2 linked regions of the Cricetulus griseus genome follow. The protein of the gene in region 2 purifies or fractionates together with the protein of the main gene of each other region. This does not show direct contact. Links are inferred from orthologs where the notes say so. Each region holds a gene or a part of one and is shown on either strand. Other genes may lie near its edges.

Evidence for each region. The genes of interacting proteins can lie anywhere in the genome.
Region 1: the proteins of Derl2 (region 2) and Serpina1 purify together in Homo sapiens (affinity purification with western blotting; 3 studies listed by BioGRID). This does not show direct contact. The link is inferred for Cricetulus griseus from reciprocal best matches to the Homo sapiens genes DERL2 and SERPINA1.

The regions. Positions count from the first base shown.
Region 1 is NC_048598.1:190,875,370-190,879,536, reverse strand, and holds the start of Serpina1 (alpha-1-antitrypsin), read right to left. Parts: upstream 2,811-4,167; coding exon 2,180-2,810; intron 854-2,179; coding exon 583-853; intron 1-582.
Region 2 is NC_048600.1:84,823,170-84,827,249, forward strand, and holds the start of Derl2 (derlin-2), read right to left. Parts: upstream 2,821-4,080; 5' UTR 2,787-2,820; coding exon 2,658-2,786; intron 1,916-2,657; coding exon 1,850-1,915; intron 1,626-1,849; exon of another isoform or gene 1,521-1,625; intron 1-1,520.

The DNA.
Region 1 (4,167 bases), on a different chromosome or scaffold from region 2:
TCGTGCCTGCCAGAAGCTCACAGGGTTCCTTATCCTACAGGCAGCAGAGCCTGGGCTCAGAGCAGGTCCTCTGACCTGGGGAGAAGACCCTAGGACTGCTGGGACCTGGAGCCCCACTGAGGAGTGACAGACGAACAGAGCCTTCTGCAAACCTGCCCAGGGTTCTCTATTGCTGGCCCCTTGCTGTTTAGGGCTGTCCATGCAGACTATCCTGGGCTCTCCTATAAACTTCTCACCTCAATCTCTACCATCAGCTGTGGCCAGGGTTTGAGACCAGTCTTGGTTCTTAGTTCAGTCATGATGTATGCTAGCGCTGCTGACATTGCAGCCCTGGGCTGTGGGTTAGAAAATACTATGTCCTCTGGGGATGGGAGTCCCTCCAAAGCAGGGCCTGGGCTCTCTCACCAGGAGCTCTGTCCCTCCCCAGACTCTACCTGGCACTGTCTGAGATGAAGGTTTATTTTAGCTCAAGGTTATGCACTTAAACTGTGGCCCTGGGATAGAGTCCACCCTCTGGCAGCACTTTGTGACTTTTGGGTCAGGATTGGACACTCAGGGAAAGGTCTCTGTCTGGGGAGTCACCTTGTGTGTCTGTTCTCCAGGAACTTGGAAATGATTTCCTTGTTGAGAGTTTGCTCCAGATGCTGCATCTTGCCTTCATCAGGCAGGATGAAGATGGCAGTGGCGTTGCCCAAGTAATCCATCAGCAGCACCCAGCTGGACAGAGTGCTGCAATGGTGCACATCAAACATGCCCAGGCGCTTCATCATGGGCACCTTCACCGTGGTGCTCTGGTCCACGTGGAAGTCAGCTTCCTCAGTGTTCTCTGCCCTGAAGGGCTTCTTCCACTTGCCTGCAGTGTATGGGAAGTAGGAAGTAGGAAGAGGGCTCAGCCAGGGAAGTGGTGACCCAGGGCCTTGACTTTTCACAGGGGACCACTACTAGACTTCAAAATGCCCAGGGACTTTGATGAGGGTAACTTGGGACTAAAGGACTCACACTTTACAGATCACAGAAGCTCACAGCTACCATCCCCATTGTCTAGAAAGCATTTCACCTGTTAGATGTGTTACATGCTTACTGAAAGGTGACCTGGGGTTATAAGTGGAAATCTTGACAGCAATTCTATTTGCTAGCTTCTTATCAGGGTGGCATGCTCATTGGTAAGTGTGAGTTCAGTTGTCACTCAGGACACCTCAAGTCCCTTTCTACATCTATGGGTTCAGTGTAGATGGCCATTTCAAGTGTAAGAACACCATCAAGGTCATTGGAGTGGGTAGGGGTCTCGGGGACCCATCACCAATGCTGGCAGAGTAGGCAAGGCCCTCAGGGATCCACCATAATGGCCCTCAGAAGGAGCATGGAATCAGGAGCCCTAACCCTGCCTTATTATTGGATAGGAAGAGGTTGGGGAGGAGTTAACATCTGCCCTTGTCACAGAAGAGCCAGGACTTGAGCTATGCTGACCATGGCCTGATATTCTGCTCCATAAGACTCTGCTTAGAGGCAAAGGAGCCACGAAGGGCAGAGAAGCTCCTGACTTTGACTCCCAGACCCTCCTCAGATGTTTTCTCTGGGGTACAGGTGCTTAGCATAGAATCCTGACCTAACCACTTCCAGGCAGGAGGCTGTGGCTAGGGTCAAGGAGAGTTGATCAAGTGCTTACATCCAAACCGTCCCTGTGTATACTGTATTTACTAATTCTTTCATCACCTCACAGCAGTTGGCTAGCTTTGTCCCTGGCCATATGGACAGCCGTACCCCAAACATGTAAAATGGCTTGTCCAACATCAAGACAGCAGTAGCAAAATTTAAGCCCATGTTTCCAGAGTTCATACTGGTGTGCAGCAAAAGAGCTGCTCAAAATACGTTTCATGGAGCAGGGCTCTCTTCATACCACCAGATACACTTGGTTCTGAGGTTGGGGAAGAATCTCGTGTTCTGAGACTCCTTCGTCGGGGTCTTCAGTGAGCACGAGGACAGTCAGTCCTTCAAAGAGGTCAGTGGATTTGATGGTTGACAATTCCCAAACTTACTGATGATTTAAAATATGACAGAGTGTACCCACTGGAGAGTCAGGGATGTGATGGGACAGAGTGACACAGCCCAGAGTGAGAGCTCAGAAACCATGGATGAGTGTCTCCATGAGAATCAGCTGGAGCTGGTTATGTCATCTTACCTTTAAAGAAAATGTAATTCACCATGGCAAGAACTGTGTCTTTGTCAAGGTCCTTCACTAAGTCAACTATCTTTCCCTGGGTTCCCTTCTCCACAAAAGCATTGATCACTTTCTTGGCCTCTTCCGAGTCTGTGAAATTGAGGGAGAAGGCTTCTGAGTGGTAATTGTTCTTGGCCTCTTCCAGGAACGTCGCCACCAGCTTCAGATTGTCGTGGATGAACAGGCCATTGCCTGTGGTCAGCTGAAGCTCATTGTCTGGCTTGTTGAGGGTCTGGAGGACGTGATGGAAGCCCTTGTGGATCTCACCCTCTGCTATTTGTGTGAGGTTGAACTCCAGGCCTTCTAGAATCTGGGTGTGAGTGGCACCCTTGGTGCCCAGAGAAAGCATAGCGAAGGCTGTAGCAATGCTCACGGGGGAGAAGAAGATGTTGGTCGTATTGGACTCATGGACCAGCTCCCGGTACAGGCTTAAGGCGAAGTCTGCCAGATTTGAAGCGATCTTACAGCAGGCTTGGTGCTCCTGATCCTGCTGGGAGGCATCTGTCTCCTGGGCATCCTCAGCCAGGAAGCTGGGGACCAGGCAGCACAGGCCTACCAGCAGCAAGATCCCCCTTGAGATGGAGGACATCATTCTTCTGCAAGACACAGAAATGCATGTTGCAAGGAATCGAGGCTGTGGTGACTCCCATCAGCTAACATTTGGCACAATACAAAAGCAACCACAGCCTATTAACGGCTGCTGCATGCCCAGCCTATATCAAGCACTATTTCAAATTGCTATAATTGACAAGAGACTGTTAAAAAGAAAACTAGAGGCATTTCTGTAGATAAAGCACTTGTTATGTAAGGGTGAGAATAGGAGTTTGGAAAATGTGGGCAGAGTAGCCATCTGTAATCCAAGCATGGGGGTGGGGGACAGGGCTGGGCAGAGATGGGATCCTTGAGGCTAGCTGGCCGGCTTGTTAACCAGAAGCTCTGAGCTCTTGGATCACTGAGAGCTCAATAAAGTGGAGAGTGGTTGAGGAAACCACCCAACATCAATGTGAGCCCCCCGTATGCACATGCGCACAGCACACTTCCGCACACAGGCTCACACCTCACAGGCATGTGTGAAAACCAAGTGAGGGAGCGAGAGCAGAGGATCAGACTTTTTTCCATCTGCCAGTGCTGTCCTGAGTCCTCCCATGTGTGAACTCCCAGGGTCCTGTAGGGAGATGATCACTCCCCTGGTAAGGGACATGTTGACACACATTCAAAGTCAACAAACAGCAAATAACACAGCAGGTCTAAGTCACACACAAGGAGTGGTCTGGTGCCTGACCAGTACTCTCATCAGTTCAAGTTCCACCAGCAATGACCTCGAACCACAAGCCCCAGCCCCATTTTACAAAGAGGAAACCAAGGCCTGGGGTGAGAAATGGACTTGTCAGTAATGACAAGGGGAGCAGGGGGTGATCTGGACTAACAGTCGCTTGAAGGTGGGGAAATCATGAGCTCCAGAATCCGGGTGCAGCTGTCACCTCTGTTCCCCAGAGAGACCATGTTGAAGGTGTGGTGATTGTCACAGGAGAAGAGATGAATGGGCACACGGGGAAGTCTAAGGCTGTGAAGAAACCCAAGCGGGCTGGAGAGATGGCTCAGCAGGAAAGAGCCCTTGGTGCTCTAGCAGAGGACCTGGGTTCGAGTCCTAGGACCTATATGGCAGATTACAACGTCCCTGTAGCCAGTTTCAGGGTGTCTGGTGCCTTCTTCCGGCCTCCTCAGTCACTGGACACGCATACAGTGTACTTACATACATGCAGGCAGAACACTTCTACATGTAAGATAAAAATCAGTCTATAGAGGAGAAGGAACACACAGACTGTCCCTACTCAGTGCCCACAAGGAACCTCAGTCCCTGGTGGCTTTCCCTGAAAGAGGGACTGTCACCATTCTACCCTGTGATTCCAGCCCCAGGCTGTGTTGGCTCCCCCTCTGGCAGCCCATCT
Region 2 (4,080 bases):
GATCCTAGAAGGCTGAGGCAGGATGATATCACAAAACCATGCCAGCCAAGCTACAAAACAAACTATCTCAAAAAATAAACAAAAAACAAACCAAAGAACTTAACCCTAGGCAGTCACACCACACAAGTCAGTAGGAAACAATCCCAGGAAAGGCCACAGGAAAATACCTAGCAAAGACATTATTGGAGGGCTGACTGCTTCATACACCATTAAACCCTCCATCACTGGCAACTATTTGTGACAATTAATGTTGACAGTGCCCTATAAGGCAAATTCTGGGCAGTTCCTCTGTAAGGGAGTTTCTAGACTCAGTCACTTGAGGTGGGAAGGAAAACACTAGCTGGGAGGGCAATCCCATGGGCTGGGATCCTAGAACAACTACATAGGAGGAAGTGAACTAAGCAACCACTCTTGTCTGTTTCCTCACAGAGGGCTGCAATGGGACCAACGGCCTTAAACTCTGGGTGCTGTGACTTCCCAACCACAATGGACTTCACCAACTAACCAAGGGCCTAATAGTCAGGTATTCTGTCACAGCAGTGAGAAAAGGAACCAGCACTCTGTTCTTCACAAGGAAACAATCCAGTTTTATGGGATTGCTCCTAAGAGTTCATAGAATCCTCATCCCAGTGAGGACACTGCACATGAAACCCCCCATGTAAAGCTGAGTGGTGATAGCCCATGCCTTCAATTATTCTAGCACTCAGGAGGCAAAGGCAGGCAGATCTCTGTGAGTTCAAGGCCAGCTTGGTCTAGAGAGCAAGTTCCAGGACAGCCAGGACTACACAGAGAAACCTTGTATCAAAAAACCAAACCAAACCAACAAAAAACCCCAAGTAAGGGTGAGAGATGTGATTTATCCGAGGGCACACAAAAGCTGCATCTTGAAGGGCAAGCTAGAGTTCAATGTGTGCAAAGGGAGTGGAACACATCTGGGACAGGGACCAGCACGAATAAAGCAGAATTACAGCCATTGAGATCTAGCCTTCACCGAGAGTGTGGAATGATCACCCTGGCAGGAAAACACACTTCTCTTTAGCATTTTAATCACTGGAAAAAGACTTCTTCAAACTGGACTCTAATAAGCCAAAATACTGTTTTAGAGAATGGTCTTTTAGACTTGTGTTAGTATGATCTGACTTCTGGAAGGCAGATAGCAGATAAGTGCTAAAGCTCTACCAGAACTGAGTTTATAAGCTAGACTGTGAGGATTAACAACAGTGGTAGGTGGGTCTGGTGGTGAGATGACAAAAGAAGACTATCCTGTGAGACTCCCTGGGCAGCTAGCTGGCCAGTCTATTCTCAAATCATATCATTATCATTACCATTATTATTATTATCATTGGTTGTTGTTACTATTGCTTGTGTTTTGAAACAATTCCTTGATGTGTAGTTCAAACTGGCCTCGATTTCCTGACTTCTGGGATTCCGGCCACATTAATTCTGAACTAGTTGTAGTCAAATGCAGGAACTCAATACACCAAAAACATACTAAAAGTAGATGCATTCCAAATTCTCACCCTTGGCACTTTTCTTAAGACAGGATCTCCTAGGTAGCCCGATCAAACCAGAACTTGCCATCCTCCTGCTTGATCTGCTGGTTCCTGACTCCACCCTTGGCAATTCTAATTTGGTATATGAAAAAGAGCTCACAAATAACCTAGCATCTCTTAAATGATTCTGAAGTCCAACCAAGCTGCAGAATTACTTCTTAACATCTCAATAAGACTTATAATCAGAGCCCCCCCCCAATTATTTTTGAGACTGTATCTGACAGGTTTTATTACTTACTAAACAATAAGAAAAAAGGTAGTGGTAACATTAATCATAGTAGCCTTAGACCACTTACTTGAAAGTGTTTAAAAATTAGTTCAGGATTGAAGTATAACTGAAAAGGTGTGATCAATTCCAACTGCTGAAATGGAAAAAGAGCTTCTTAAATCAGATCAATTGTAAAACAAAAATTCGGCATTAACGACAAGGGGCCAGTAGCTCTAATAATTTCTGTTGTCACTTGGAGTAAATTCCTGTCTTGCTTGTGATGGCTGGTAAGAGATTCTTTAGAATTCGCACAACCGTTTTGTATCCTTAATACACAATGCAAGTTTGATGTTGCAATATTTGAGGGTGCTATAAGGTAGGCAGGTGGGGATATTTTAGAGACAAGACAACAGCATCTTTTACGTGTGTCGCGTGGTCAGCACCCGAAACAGCTGGGCAAGACAACTCCGAGTAAGAGATTCGAGGCCCCGCTACCATCAGGGCTAGACACAAGCGGCCAGTTCTTATATCCACGGGCCGTCTTTTGAAAGATGTTTCCAGACCACTCGAGATTTTTTTTTATCCTTAATACAGAAGTCTGTGAACCCAGCGGACCTTGCTCCCGCTAGTCACCTGGCCATAGCGAGGGCTGAGATACATTTTTGGGTGGGCGGCTCCCGCAGCTCTGACTCGCTACAGGTCTGGATTTCATCTCTCGGTAACTGACCTGCCCCTTCATGGAGGAGCACTTCCTTTTCAGGTCACTGGCTTGGCACCCTTGGGACTATCCCGAACCCTAGAGTCAGCTCCGGATGTCTCCACCCACCCCTGGGACCAAACCCTCTGGGCTTCTCTGCGGCCCAAACCCGTTTTCTGAAGACCCAGTCATAGCTAGCCTGAAAAAAGGAGGACGTGGCGCCACAGCTGCTCACCACGGCCGCGGTGGTGAGGACGCAGGCGGTAGTGTAGGCGCGGCTGACCGGCGGGATCTGCAGGTACTCCAGCCGGAGGCTCTGGTACGCCATCTTCCCCACCGCGCCTGCCCCCCTTCCCCTTCCGCCAGTATGCCAGGCGGCGGGGCGGACTCAAAGCCGGCCTCCAGCCTTACCACCGCTGTCCAATCAGCGCCGGGCACTCGGCCGGCCACCAATCGCTGGCGCCTTGCGGACCGCTCACCCACCAATCACGAGTTGCGTTTCCGCGTCGGCCCATCCTTACTTCTCTGCCTACCAACGAAGAGAGAAAGTACCAGTTCCTTCCGCCAATCCCTGCTGGCCACAGCTAGCTTTCCCTCCTCGTCCCCTCCTTTCACCAATCCAAGTGCCCACTTTTGACGCCAGGGCCGGCCAATCAGGAGTGCGGTCCATCCCGCCTTTGCGTTTGTTCGCGGAGGCACGTTTCAGTCGCCTCTGAGGAGTCGCTGCTGCCGCCTTCCTACTGCAGCTCCGTGCGGTTTGAAGGGAGTGGCGGGAAGCCGGTGTGTGGCAGACTCCATCACCCCGGGATCGCTTCGGTAGGGGCCGTGTGTTCTCTGAAGAGGAGCGGAAAGGGCGGGGCTGCAGGAGCGCCGTCGTTTCAGGCGCGCCCCAGCGTTCTGCAGGGTATCCTTCACACGGCCGCCCTGGGCCCGGAGACCTGGACGTCCCGGCATGCAGTGCGGCCGCAGGGTGGGACGGGAGCTGGAGATGCCGGAAGCGCTTCCCGCCCTGCGGTTTTCTTGGGCATTGTCTGTGGTGGCCGAAGGCTCCGTCACACTCGTCGAGATGGTGTGGGTGCCTCCCGTGTTTAACTTGAGCCTCAGGAACTCTGTCTAGCAGAGGAGAGATGGTAGATGAGTTAGTAACACTGAGGGGAAAGCGAAGGAGGTAGTGGCTGGTTCTTCAGGGATGTGTGTTCGAACTGGTTCTTGAAGGATCTGTGCTCGATGCGTGCCCACTTGAAGGAAAAGGGAACTGAATTCGGTTGTGTTGGAGCAAAGACAATCCTGGTCGTGGCAGAAGCATTCGACAAGTTAATAGAAGCATTAAAAAACTGTGGGGCAACGTGTGACTGTCAAGTCTAGTAGGAACCAAGTGAAGGCTGGACAGAGTGGCATTTAAAATTCATATAAGGCTGAACGCAGTGGCACCTGCCTGTGACTCCTAGACATTCTGGAGGCTGAGGCCAGAGGATTTGTTGAGTCCTGAAGTTCTAGAGGAGATTGGGGGCAAACACAAGAAGAGTGGTCTTAACTTGTTTGTAAAACTACAGCGCTACCACCTCGCCGTAGCGTTGCCAGTGTAACAGAAAAGGCAAAATTGGAACTTGTCTCTGAACAAG